Linked DNA regions of Arabidopsis thaliana. The protein of the gene in region 1 purifies or fractionates together with the protein of each later gene. This does not show direct contact. Each region holds a gene or a part of one and is shown in the gene's direction. Other genes may lie near its edges.

Region 1 (6,974 bases):
TCTCCTCCACGTATTTTTTTCGTCATATATATGTTAATGTCGCGGGTTTTTCGACCTGCAGATGTTTTGTTTATTCTTTTCAGAAATCTATATATTATATATACATATATAAAGAAATGATTAACCAATGAAGCCTCGGTTAATATTAATTTACAGTTTTACACCATATTATATATAGCTTATAGCTTACGGAGAAACCTTGTAGAAAATTCTATCTATCCAGTTATGTTTCTCTTAATTACTCATTGATACCTTAACTGGAGTACCTAACCTATATTTGTGTTTAGGTAAAAGTAAGATAGGAACGAGAAAGATAAGTTAAAAAAAAAAGAAAAAAAAAAAAAACGAGAAAGATAACTTTAAATCGATTAATTTATCTAAATTAAAGTTCTTTTCGTTTAGTTCGGCGCAAATACTCGACCAGTTTAAATTCAAGTTCATTATATGCACGAGCAACCAAGCACGATGCATTATTGCATAAACAAATGAAATCAACGGCATCCGATTTTTTAAAATAATTAAGGGCATGTAATTAATTAATATTTTAAATTATGAAAGGATTTATACGTACGTATATATAGTTCATAGTTTTATAGAACTCCGAATTTGTTGAGGGTATATATTTGAAAAAGCATAATTTTTAAGTTTAAACAGGCCCAGTTGATTGATAATCCTAACTTAATCTCTCGTACCTACCAAAATTAAGCTGTTGTCACGTCTGTTGCATTCATAATTGGTCAACAATATTTGAGGAAATAATTATGGTAATAGTTGAAAACACTTGTATTTCCTTTTTGTCAGGATAACACTTACGTTTCATGCAATTATTTGATATAAAATGTGTAGAGAGATATATTAATCAAAATTTGGTGTGTGTTTTTTTTTCTAAACACATTCAAAACTTGGTTAATTAAGTTGGTCACTTGGTAGAAATTTAAACAAAAAAACTATGGATCCGATTTATTTATTTGTCCAACCAATACAATATTTGACAGTTGTTTTACGTGAGGTTTAAACTAATTGTAAGGGTAAAGCGATAAATACAAACAATACGTGGGGATTAGTTGCTGAAAAAAATAAGTCACGAGAGGGCATAGATAAAAAACCAATAAACCATATTTGTTTTTGTTTAACGAAGCACTAGAGCTTCATGCGTGTAGGGTTATAAAGTTACATACACGCGTGGAAAAATACGAGAACGGTGGTGGGGAATTAGGTCTCTATCGTAGTTACCGTTAATTAATACAATATATTAGAATTTTGTAGTTTTAGATTTCTCTTTTTATGATGATATTTTGTCGTGCAGATATTTATGGAAGCGTGAGACGTTCGTGCGGAGTGAGTAATATAGATAATACAGATATTGATGTAACAAAAAAAAAAGAGGATATGATTTGCTTTGGGACGTTAAACACGAAAATAGTCGACTTTAAAGGGTTGAGTAAAATAATTAGAGAAAAGCTTATTTCAGTGAAATAATGCGGTAACTGGTAGGATTTGAAGCTCGGATATGTGTTGATGCTTTGGTATTTTTCGTCATTGCATTGAATATATATGGTGCATTGAATATTTGAATATTTAGAGATTAAGTTACAACAGATCCTAAAAAAAAAAAAAAGAAAAAAAAAAAAAAAAAAAAAAAGTTACAACAGATCCGAATATTTAAATTATACGGAAACCGAACTATACATACATCGAACAAATACTAATTTACTGTAAATTATTTACATGTTGCACAAATTTTACTGAATTCGTAGATTTCTTTGACATCAACATGAGAACACTTAGAAAAAGCAACAAATCTAGTCCTCCACAAAACAGAACTTTTGTTAGATTTATAAAAGATTCTCCCCTAACCTGTAAAACTCAAATTTTAAAACAGTTGACGTAGAGTTTGATCTATTGCAATATAAATTATTTGCACGAATACTATTAGGTGGGAATGTGAGATTAATAATTAGGAAAAAATTAGTCTTTAATATAATGATTATGCATCCTCTTTTCACGTAAAGATTAGTCTCATAGTTTTGTCTTCTTTAGCTTTTTCTCCTCTTTTTTTCTTCTCTTTGCCAAATTTCTTCTCTTTCGCTTTTACATTTTCTCCAGCAAAATAAGACAAGATCTCAATCACTTCTTCTTCTTCAATTCTATCTAAAGCTGTCACGAGAAAGCCAGAGAATTTCTCAGCTTCTCATTTTGTCAAGCAAATACAAAAAGAACACACTTCTTTTTTATTTCCGGGAAAATTCGTTTTTATGTAGTGGTCGTACTAAACACGCTTCCTTTATGTGGAATCTTAAAGCAGTCCCTTTTTTTAGTTGAATTCAACAGTTTTTTTCTTTTTTTTTTTGGTTCCGGATCCGACCATCTCTGCAACATCGTACTTTGAGAGACAACACTGTCGAAGACCATCTACGTTGTCTTCTTTACTTGGAGAACTCTCTCTGTCTCTTCTCTGTACTTTCTCCCTTCTCTTTTTCCGTATCTGTCAGCCTTTGATTCCGCTTTTTTGTTCCTTCACCACATATACATGTATGTATCTTCTTCTTCTACCTTGAACAAGACTTGATTTTGCCACTAGTTATTTCAGAAAAATTAATCTTAATTTCACTTTGAATTTTTCAGCGTTCCAAGCTCATATCCGGTGAAGTTTTTGGAGGATTTGGTTGTTATGGAGCATAGGGTTTTCTCAAAAAGAAGATTCTTGAGCTTGAAATTGAAGTCTTTGAATTCTTAAGGGAATTTTATCGAACACTTTGTGGGCTAATAACATGAAACAACAATGGCAGTTCTTGATCCTCTGTTTGCTCGTCTTGTTTCTAACGGTGGACTCTCGTGGCAGACGGCTACTCAGCGACGACGTTAACGACACAGCTCTGCTAACGGCGTTTAAGCAAACCTCTATCAAGTCGGATCCTACCAACTTTTTAGGTAACTGGAGATACGGGTCGGGTCGTGACCCATGTACTTGGCGAGGCGTCTCTTGTTCTAGCGATGGTAGAGTCATTGGACTTGATCTACGAAACGGTGGTCTTACCGGAACCCTAAATCTCAATAATCTCACGGCGTTGTCTAATCTCCGGAGTCTTTATTTGCAAGGAAACAACTTCTCCTCCGGAGATTCTTCTTCTTCTTCAGGATGTTCTCTCGAGGTTCTGGATTTATCTTCAAACTCGCTTACGGACTCTTCAATAGTGGATTACGTTTTCTCCACCTGTTTAAATCTGGTTTCTGTCAATTTCTCGCACAACAAGCTCGCCGGGAAATTGAAGTCTTCTCCTTCGGCGAGTAACAAGAGAATCACAACCGTTGATCTCTCGAACAATCGCTTCTCCGATGAGATTCCGGAGACTTTCATCGCCGATTTTCCGAATTCTCTGAAACACCTCGACTTATCCGGCAACAATGTCACCGGCGACTTCTCTCGTCTCAGCTTTGGTCTCTGTGAGAACCTCACCGTATTCAGCTTATCACAGAACAGCATCTCCGGCGACAGATTTCCGGTTAGTCTCTCAAATTGTAAGCTCCTCGAAACGTTAAACCTCTCTCGGAACAGTCTCATCGGAAAAATCCCCGGAGATGACTATTGGGGAAATTTTCAGAACCTGAGGCAGCTCTCTCTTGCACACAACCTTTACTCCGGTGAGATTCCACCGGAGCTTTCTCTGCTCTGTCGAACTCTAGAGGTTCTCGATCTCTCCGGCAACAGTCTCACCGGTCAGCTTCCGCAATCATTCACCTCTTGTGGCTCATTACAAAGCCTAAATCTTGGAAACAACAAGCTCTCCGGTGATTTCTTAAGCACCGTCGTGAGTAAACTCTCTAGAATCACTAATCTTTACTTACCATTCAACAACATCTCAGGCTCTGTTCCGATTTCGCTCACCAACTGTAGTAATCTGCGAGTTCTTGATCTGAGCTCAAACGAGTTCACTGGAGAAGTACCATCTGGTTTCTGCTCTCTTCAAAGCTCTTCGGTTTTGGAAAAGTTGCTTATTGCCAACAATTACCTCTCAGGAACTGTCCCTGTAGAGCTTGGTAAATGTAAGAGCTTGAAGACTATAGATCTTAGCTTCAATGCTCTCACTGGTCTGATTCCTAAGGAGATATGGACATTGCCTAAGCTCTCCGACTTAGTTATGTGGGCGAACAATCTCACTGGTGGAATCCCGGAGAGCATTTGTGTTGATGGAGGAAACTTGGAAACGTTAATCTTAAACAACAATCTCTTAACCGGTTCTCTTCCAGAATCAATCTCCAAATGCACCAACATGCTTTGGATCTCCCTTTCTAGTAACCTGCTTACCGGTGAAATCCCTGTAGGAATCGGAAAGCTTGAGAAGTTAGCGATTCTGCAACTCGGGAACAATTCTTTAACTGGGAACATTCCAAGTGAGCTTGGAAACTGCAAGAACCTTATCTGGCTTGATCTTAACAGCAATAATCTAACTGGGAATCTCCCAGGTGAACTTGCAAGTCAGGCCGGACTGGTAATGCCCGGAAGCGTCTCTGGTAAACAGTTTGCGTTTGTGAGGAATGAAGGTGGGACGGATTGCAGAGGTGCAGGGGGTTTGGTTGAGTTTGAAGGAATTCGTGCTGAGCGGTTAGAGCATTTTCCAATGGTTCATTCATGTCCCAAGACTCGGATATACTCAGGCATGACCATGTACATGTTCTCCAGTAACGGGAGCATGATCTACTTGGACCTTTCCTACAATGCGGTTTCAGGTTCTATTCCTTTGGGTTATGGTGCAATGGGATATCTTCAGGTCTTGAATTTGGGACATAACTTGTTAACTGGAACCATACCGGATAGCTTCGGAGGATTGAAAGCAATTGGAGTTCTTGATCTATCTCACAATGATCTCCAAGGATTCTTACCTGGATCACTAGGAGGACTCTCTTTTCTAAGCGACTTAGACGTCTCTAACAACAATCTAACCGGACCAATCCCATTCGGAGGCCAACTTACGACGTTCCCACTCACAAGATACGCCAACAACTCTGGCCTCTGCGGGGTTCCTCTACCACCTTGTAGCTCTGGTTCCCGGCCCACGAGATCTCATGCTCACCCTAAAAAACAGAGCATTGCGACTGGGATGAGTGCGGGGATTGTGTTTTCTTTCATGTGTATTGTGATGCTTATTATGGCGCTTTATAGAGCAAGGAAGGTTCAGAAGAAGGAAAAACAGAGAGAGAAGTACATTGAGAGCCTTCCGACATCTGGTAGCAGCAGCTGGAAGCTCTCTAGTGTTCATGAACCGTTGAGCATCAACGTTGCAACATTTGAGAAGCCGCTGCGAAAACTTACTTTTGCACACCTTTTAGAAGCCACAAACGGGTTTAGTGCTGATAGTATGATCGGATCAGGTGGATTTGGAGATGTCTACAAGGCTAAACTGGCTGATGGATCTGTTGTAGCGATCAAGAAGTTGATTCAAGTCACGGGACAAGGTGATAGAGAGTTCATGGCAGAGATGGAAACGATTGGTAAAATCAAACATCGAAATTTGGTACCTCTTCTTGGATATTGCAAGATTGGTGAAGAGAGACTTCTTGTCTATGAGTACATGAAATACGGAAGCTTAGAGACAGTTCTGCACGAAAAGACCAAGAAGGGTGGAATCTTTCTTGATTGGTCAGCGAGAAAGAAGATTGCAATAGGAGCTGCGCGTGGGCTAGCTTTTCTGCACCATAGCTGCATTCCTCATATTATCCACAGGGATATGAAATCAAGCAACGTTCTTCTAGACCAAGATTTTGTTGCCCGTGTCTCAGATTTTGGTATGGCAAGGCTGGTGAGCGCTCTGGACACACACTTGAGCGTGAGCACGCTCGCAGGTACTCCCGGGTATGTCCCACCAGAGTATTACCAGAGTTTCCGATGTACAGCCAAAGGAGATGTGTATAGCTACGGAGTTATACTTCTGGAGCTCCTCTCAGGCAAGAAACCGATCGATCCAGAGGAGTTTGGTGAAGACAACAACCTTGTGGGATGGGCTAAACAGCTCTACAGAGAGAAGAGAGGAGCTGAGATACTTGACCCAGAGTTAGTAACAGACAAATCTGGCGATGTTGAGCTACTTCATTACTTGAAGATTGCGTCTCAATGTTTGGACGATCGGCCATTCAAAAGACCAACTATGATTCAAGTCATGACGATGTTCAAAGAGCTCGTTCAGGTTGATACAGAGAACGACAGTCTTGATGAGTTTTTGCTAAAGGAAACGCCGTTGGTCGAAGAATCACGAGATAAGGAGCCTTAAGGAATTCAGGAAGATTTGAAATTTGTTATTTTCGTCCTATTTTTGGTGTTACTGATTCAGTGTATATAACAGTAAAAAGTAATACAGACACTGAAGGGTTTTTACTTAATTTCTTGATTTCTGAAAGCTATTAAGAAATACTTCGTTGTAAAGTTTTTGTACCTAACAAATTAATCTTATCGTAATGACAATTTTGTGAGCCGTGTTATATACTTATGTGTGATGATGATTAACAATATGATAAACTTTGATTGATGGTATTTCTGCTTTTGATCTCAAGATTGGCAATTAGGGAAAGAACACTTCATGTCAGACAAAGAAGATGATCTCTGCTTATTTCGTTGAAGATTATGGATACATTACATAAGCGTTACAAAAAAATGAAGAACAAAAAAAGAGAAACTTAATGCGTCTTTTTAAAACAAGAAAAAAATTACTTAAGGGATAGACATACATACATTTCAATTTCATGTATATACGAATAAACCATATACTTTTAAAAATCAATTTTATAAAATTTAAAACAGTTAAAAAGAAAAGACCCAAAAAACCAGAAAAATAAATCCGTTAGGTAAACGTCTTGCAAATGCCTCTCAATCGATTGAATCAACAGAAGAATCCAAACTATTTTGTTGCATTAAAAGTAAATTTTTTGTAAAATTTAACTTAGGCTCCAGCGTAAGGGTTAGGCTTAGGTGTACCCTTCAC
Region 2 (5,936 bases), about 18 Mb from region 1:
GATTAGAAGAAACTAAAGGATCTCCTCCACCGGCTCCGGCGTCGGATTTTCTACGGGTAACGTAAGGAGAAACAGAGCGAGGGAAAATCAAAAGCGGAGGATGATTATTGTTATTAGATTTCTTTGATTGATTATCTTCTACGGCGGCTGATACGGCGGCGGAAGCGGCGAGAGAGAGGAGACGTTCACGGAGGCAAGAAGCGCAAACGCCGTTGCTGCTGCTGAGATCGACGGTGTGTCTTTTACACCTCATCGGAGGAGAATTGAAGATAAAAGAAAAAGCTTTGATTTTTTTCGAAAGGAAGCTTTTTTTTTTTTGGGTTGGGCCGAGAGTTTCGGTGGTTATAGTGATGTGACAACCTGTAAAGATGAAGGAAGAAGAAAAGATCTGGTGGTAAAGATTTTGTCTTCTTCTCCTAAGATCTCTGTTTTGAGATAGGCTTAGAGAGAGAGAGATAGCATTCTATGTCGGAAAACCAAAAAAAAAGATAGATGAGAGAGAGAAACTAATTTATTTATCTAATGGAGATTTGTAAGCACAACATTTTGACAGATCATTTTATCACTAACCATTTCTTTAATGCAAAATTTAATTATGCGATGGTTAGTGATTCAATTGCAATTTTTGGTTCGTAATTTTGCCAACTTACAAAAAATTGATCTAACGCGCCATTATAGTTTCATAGTTGTAGAAGATAAAATCTAGTTATGGTTGACCTTTCTTTAATTCAATATACGGACCAATACCATTGGATTTGAATGGGATGTGTAGTGATTACCTCAGCCACTGACTTGAAACAATGATATAACTGTATAAATAAATAAAAAACCTAAAAGAGAAGCATGTGACGTTGGATGGTAAAAGCCGACAAGTATTAGGTGAAGACGAGCCATCGTCGTTTTCCACATATCTCACACGAATGTTCGTCCGTTTCTTCTACATATTGCCACGTGGTTTTCATATTTCATCAATAGGCCTTAACTTCATTATTGGGCTTTTAAAGCCTTCCTAAAGTCTCCTTGTCTATTGGGCCTGTCATGTGATAATCAATGATGTAATAAATAACGACAACCTATACTTAGTTTTTGCTTCTTCTTAGTTTGAATATGTTATGTTAGTTTGGTTATTTCAGTCATTTAGTTTGGTTTGGTTGATAACTAAATCATGATGTTGAGAGAAACTCATTGTTTTTGTGTTTATGTCTATGTTTATTGTGAAGAATGATTCATTATTTACCAAGTACTAAGAAATTCAAAATTTTCTAGAAATATTATTTTATGTTTGTGATTTCTAAAATAAAATCTAAAATAATTCAGACTGGATAACACAAAACCCATAAAAACTAGAGAACCGCTTGTATACATATAGCCTCCTACCCTCTTCCTGGACCTAACTTTATTATTGGGTCCTTTTAAAAGTCTTCTATATCTATTGGGCCTTCTAAACAATGTTGATTGTTGTTTCTAGACTTATTATTTTGTATTTGTGTGAGGGGTCCATGTGGAATTTCAAAATTCGAAAATTCAAACAGGTTACAAATATCTCAAATTAAAGGGACACAAATCTTATCTTCATTATTTTAGATTTGACCGTCTAGAAAAGTAAGAACCAGACCGTACCGAACCAAAACGAACCAGAGCCAGACGACTCCTTAACGGCGGCTAAGCTATCTGTAAACCGACCGAACCACACAGCCACAGGCACACAAATCAAACCTTCTAGAAATCAAAGAGAGACATTTATTCTCTAAATTCATTTTCCTATTTTGCCCCTACGAATATTTTTCTTCTTCGTCTCTCTCTCTCAGCTCTTGAAGTCTTTGGTCTGTTGGCGAATTTTCAAGCAGCTTTCTAATTCTGAACTGAAAATTTCGTCTTTGGAACTTTATATTCTCTCATCTGAAACTGAAGGAGAAGGAAGATGACGACTATGGAGAGTTTGATTGGGTTAGTTAATAGGATACAGAGAGCATGTACCGTACTCGGTGACTATGGTGGTGGAACTGGAAGTAACGCTTTCAATTCTCTCTGGGAAGCTCTTCCAACCGTCGCCGTCGTCGGTGGTCAGGTGATTTCTCCGGTTGAAATATCTTTGACTTCTTCCTAGGTTTTCTCTCTGGTGACTCTTCAACTTACTTTTTTTTTGGGTTTGTGCAGAGTTCTGGGAAATCTTCGGTTCTTGAGAGTATAGTTGGGAGAGATTTTCTTCCTAGAGGATCTGGTTTGTGAAAATTTTCCCTTTTCTCTTATGTTTGTATATAAAGCAAGGAGGAGCTTTGGTTTTGAGGAAGAAGTATTGTTTGTGCAGGTATCGTTACGAGACGGCCTTTAGTGTTGCAGCTTCATAAGACTGATGATGGAACAGAGGAGTATGCAGAGTTCCTTCATCTTCCCAAGAAGCAATTCACAGATTTTGGTATGTACCTTAACATTTATGTCTATCTATGTTATGTATATCAATGTATGTTTGTTCTGCTTCAAGTGTGTTTTAGTTGAAAGTGTTCATTGAATTTTTGCTTGAAAATTCTTCGATGTTTCAGCTTTGGTTCGCAGGGAGATTCAGGATGAGACTGATAGAATCACAGGGAAAAACAAACAGATATCTCCAGTTCCTATTCACCTCAGTATCTACTCTCCAAATGGTATCTTTAATAATCTCAGTCTGATTCCTGTAACATTCTTGTTTGTTGATTTAACATTGATGTTTGCTCTTTTTTATGGAAACAGTTGTGAATTTGACACTCATTGATTTGCCCGGTTTAACTAAAGTGGCTGTTGGTATGTTTCTTTTGACCTCTTCTTTGGGTTTCCATTTCTTTATTATTTGATGACCGTATATGTAGTTATTGATACTGCCTCTGATTTCCAGAGGGACAGCCGGAAACCATTGCTGAGGATATCGAATCCATGGTTCGCACATATGTTGATAAGGTGAGAATTGCTAGATCTTTCATTTTTTTTTAAAAATGCAAAAACCTTATACGACTTTTAAACTATATGCTCAAGTTCTAGTTGCAGATGGTTAACTTTTTTAGTAGTACCAATAGCTTAATTTCTGTTTGTTTGCAGCCCAATTGTATCATATTGGCTATATCTCCTGCCAACCAAGACATTGCCACATCAGATGCAATTAAGCTCGCAAAAGATGTCGATCCAACAGGTTCGTTTACTATTTTGTTACCTATGATTGATATATATATATGGCAGGAAGTACTGTCTTTAGATGATGAAATAAGTTTTTGATCGTCTCAGGTGAGAGGACATTTGGTGTTCTTACCAAGTTAGACTTGATGGACAAAGGAACTAATGCGTTAGAAGTAAGCACCTCTTCGTCTCTTTTGGTTCATGTGTCATGGTCCACTTTAATGATTATACATGACTGGTATTATGATTGGCAAACCAATCTAGGGATGATAAAAGTAACTAAATCTACAGCGTGCTTTCCAGTTCTTACTTTTTTTAGTTAGAAATTTTGATCTAACATTCAGAACTGCTTGCCTTAATAAGGTTCTTGAAGGAAGATCTTACAGGCTGCAACATCCTTGGGTTGGGATAGTGAACCGTTCACAAGCAGATATTAATAAGAATGTCGATATGATGCTTGCAAGACGCAAGGAACGAGAATATTTTGATACCAGTCCTGACTATGGTCACTTAGCCAGCAAAATGGGTTCAGAATATCTGGCAAAGCTGCTCTCTAAGGTATTCAATCAAAGGCTGAAATACTTGAGACTTTATCGGATTGTTTATTCATTGTTATTCATTTGATTTATGGTCTTTGTTTTTTTATGCAGCACTTGGAGTCTGTTATCAGGACCCGTATTCCAAGTATACTATCCTTAATAAACAAAAGCATTGAAGAACTTGAAAGAGAGTTAGACCGAATGGGTCGGCCTGTCGCAGTTGATGCTGGGGTGAGAGAGTACAATTATGTGAAACTATTTCTCTTCCATAAAGTTTTACGTTTTTTGATATGTGCTAAATCTGTTGGTCTCATTCTCAGGCTCAACTATACACTATATTGGAGATGTGCCGTGCATTCGATAAGATATTCAAGGAACATCTTGATGGCGGGTAAACATCTTTGCTAATCTTCCTGTGGAATTTTTTTTGCTTAGGTTGTTGATTTTTGGTTAACCTCTTTTTACATTTTAGGCGTCCTGGAGGTGACCGTATCTATGGAGTCTTTGACAACCAACTTCCAGCTGCACTTAAAAAGCTTCCTTTTGATCGCCATCTTTCTCTACAAAGCGTGAAGAAAATCGTGTCCGAGGCAGATGGTTATCAACCTCACTTGATTGCACCAGAACAGGGTTATCGCCGTCTAATCGAAGGGGCACTGGGTTACTTTAGAGGTCCAGCTGAAGCTTCTGTGGATGCTGTAAGTTCTTCTACAGTGTCTCCTCACTTCACTTTTATAAATACAAGACCGTAATGAGAATGGCGCAAATGCAACAGGTTCACTATGTCTTGAAAGAGCTTGTGAGGAAATCAATATCAGAAACTGAGGTAAGTTCACTATTGATTTTTCTTATACTGGTAGAATGTACTACACGGGTTTGACTGGATCTCCCTTCCCTGGTGGCAAAATGCAGGAGCTAAAGCGTTTCCCTTCACTGCAAGTCGAGCTTGCTGCAGCAGCCAACAGCTCCTTGGAGAAATTCAGGGAAGAAAGCAAGAAGTCGGTTATTCGACTTGTTGACATGGAATCTGCGTATCTAACCGCTGAGTTCTTCCGGAAACTTCCTCAAGAAATAGAAAGACCAGTAACCAACAGCAAAAACCAAACCGCTTCTCCTTCGTCTGCAACATTAGACCAGTATGGAGACGGACATTTCAGAAGGATAGCATCAAATGTATCTGCGTATGTTAATATGGTTTCGGACACACTTCGTAACACCATTCCAAAAGCTTGTGTGTACTGTCAGGTTAGACAAGCCAAGCTCGCATTGCTCAATTACTTCTACTCTCAGATCAGCAAGAGAGAGGTAAACTGAAGCTAAAATAGAATGTCTCAAATATTTCATATTATGTGGTATGCGCATCAAATCTTATAGTTGGTCGGAAAATTTCACAGGGGAAACAGTTGGGACAGTTACTAGATGAAGATCCGGCATTGATGGACCGGAGACTAGAGTGCGCGAAGAGGCTAGAGTTATACAAGAAAGCAAGAGATGAGATTGATGCTGTTGCTTGGGTAAGATGATAAAACCTAAAAGTGTGTTTCTGGTGATGGTTTTAGAGAACTATAAATTCGTCTGTTGTTTAAGTTCGTTGACTATGTCTTTGTATGTATGTATATGATCATCAGACCCTATTGAGAGAGACTTGAGACGTTTTGTAATAAACTTATCATTACTATTTAAAAACGCCATAGCGTGTACTTTCCGTCTCGCTTCACTTTAGAGAACCGCGTGCCGTTTAAAACATGCACGTTGCAACCGTTAGCAGACTACACGCCGTTTTTCTTCCTTAATTTCTCTATCTTCTTCACCTGAATCTTCTTCGCCTGGACTTGTCAAACTTGTGCGTGATTCATCGTCACATCGCCTTGATCATGGAAACTCCTATCGATGCTCCGAATAAGGTGTTGTATTCACCTGTCTATCCAATTTCATTATCATTGTAACTAATAAAAATCTGGTATTTTTTTCTAAATTCTCGAGGATATTATTTGGTTACAGGACGAACATGAATGCCCTAGGTGGAAGAAATCAACTGTAGTTTTTGTGTTGGGTAATAATAACTCCACTCTATGTAATCATATGCTTGAAGGTTAATTTTTGTGGTGTTGAGTGGTTTGATTGATTCTATAGGTGGTCCTGGAAGTGGAAAAGGTACTCAGTGTGCTAATGTTGTGAAGCACTTTAGCTATACCCATTTTAGTGCTGGTGATCTTCTCAGAGCAGAAATTAAGTCCGGTTCTGAATTTGGGT

The links. The genes of interacting proteins can lie anywhere in the genome.
Region 2: the proteins of BRL3 (region 1) and DL1E purify together in Arabidopsis thaliana (affinity purification with western blotting, with the first as the bait; one study listed by BioGRID). This does not show direct contact.

The regions. Positions count from the first base shown.
Region 1 is NC_003074.8:4,344,469-4,351,442, forward strand, and holds BRL3 (BRI1-like 3), read left to right. Parts: upstream 1-1,861; 5' UTR 1,862-2,532; intron 2,533-2,625; 5' UTR 2,626-2,771; coding exon 2,772-6,266; 3' UTR 6,267-6,471; downstream 6,472-6,974. Other genes in the region: sks11 (SKU5 similar 11), read right to left, coding at 6,933-6,974. UniProt on the Arabidopsis thaliana protein: Receptor with a dual specificity kinase activity acting on both serine/threonine- and tyrosine-containing substrates. Binds brassinolide. Regulates, in response to brassinosteroid binding, a signaling cascade involved in plant development.
Region 2 is NC_003074.8:22,243,637-22,249,572, reverse strand, and holds DL1E (DYNAMIN-like 1E), read left to right. Parts: upstream 1-1,596; 5' UTR 1,597-1,921; coding exon 1,922-2,068; intron 2,069-2,157; coding exon 2,158-2,221; intron 2,222-2,308; coding exon 2,309-2,416; intron 2,417-2,540; coding exon 2,541-2,642; intron 2,643-2,727; coding exon 2,728-2,778; intron 2,779-2,869; coding exon 2,870-2,931; intron 2,932-3,069; coding exon 3,070-3,160; intron 3,161-3,252; coding exon 3,253-3,317; intron 3,318-3,507; coding exon 3,508-3,702; intron 3,703-3,794; coding exon 3,795-3,914; intron 3,915-4,003; coding exon 4,004-4,074; intron 4,075-4,155; coding exon 4,156-4,381; intron 4,382-4,458; coding exon 4,459-4,509; intron 4,510-4,595; coding exon 4,596-4,988; intron 4,989-5,077; coding exon 5,078-5,206; 3' UTR 5,207-5,404; downstream 5,405-5,936. Other genes in the region: AT3G60200 (uncharacterized protein), read right to left, coding at 1-253; AT3G60180 (P-loop containing nucleoside triphosphate hydrolases superfamily protein), read left to right, coding at 5,558-5,587, 5,685-5,736, 5,817-5,934. UniProt on the Arabidopsis thaliana protein: Microtubule-associated force-producing protein that is targeted to the tubulo-vesicular network of the forming cell plate during cytokinesis.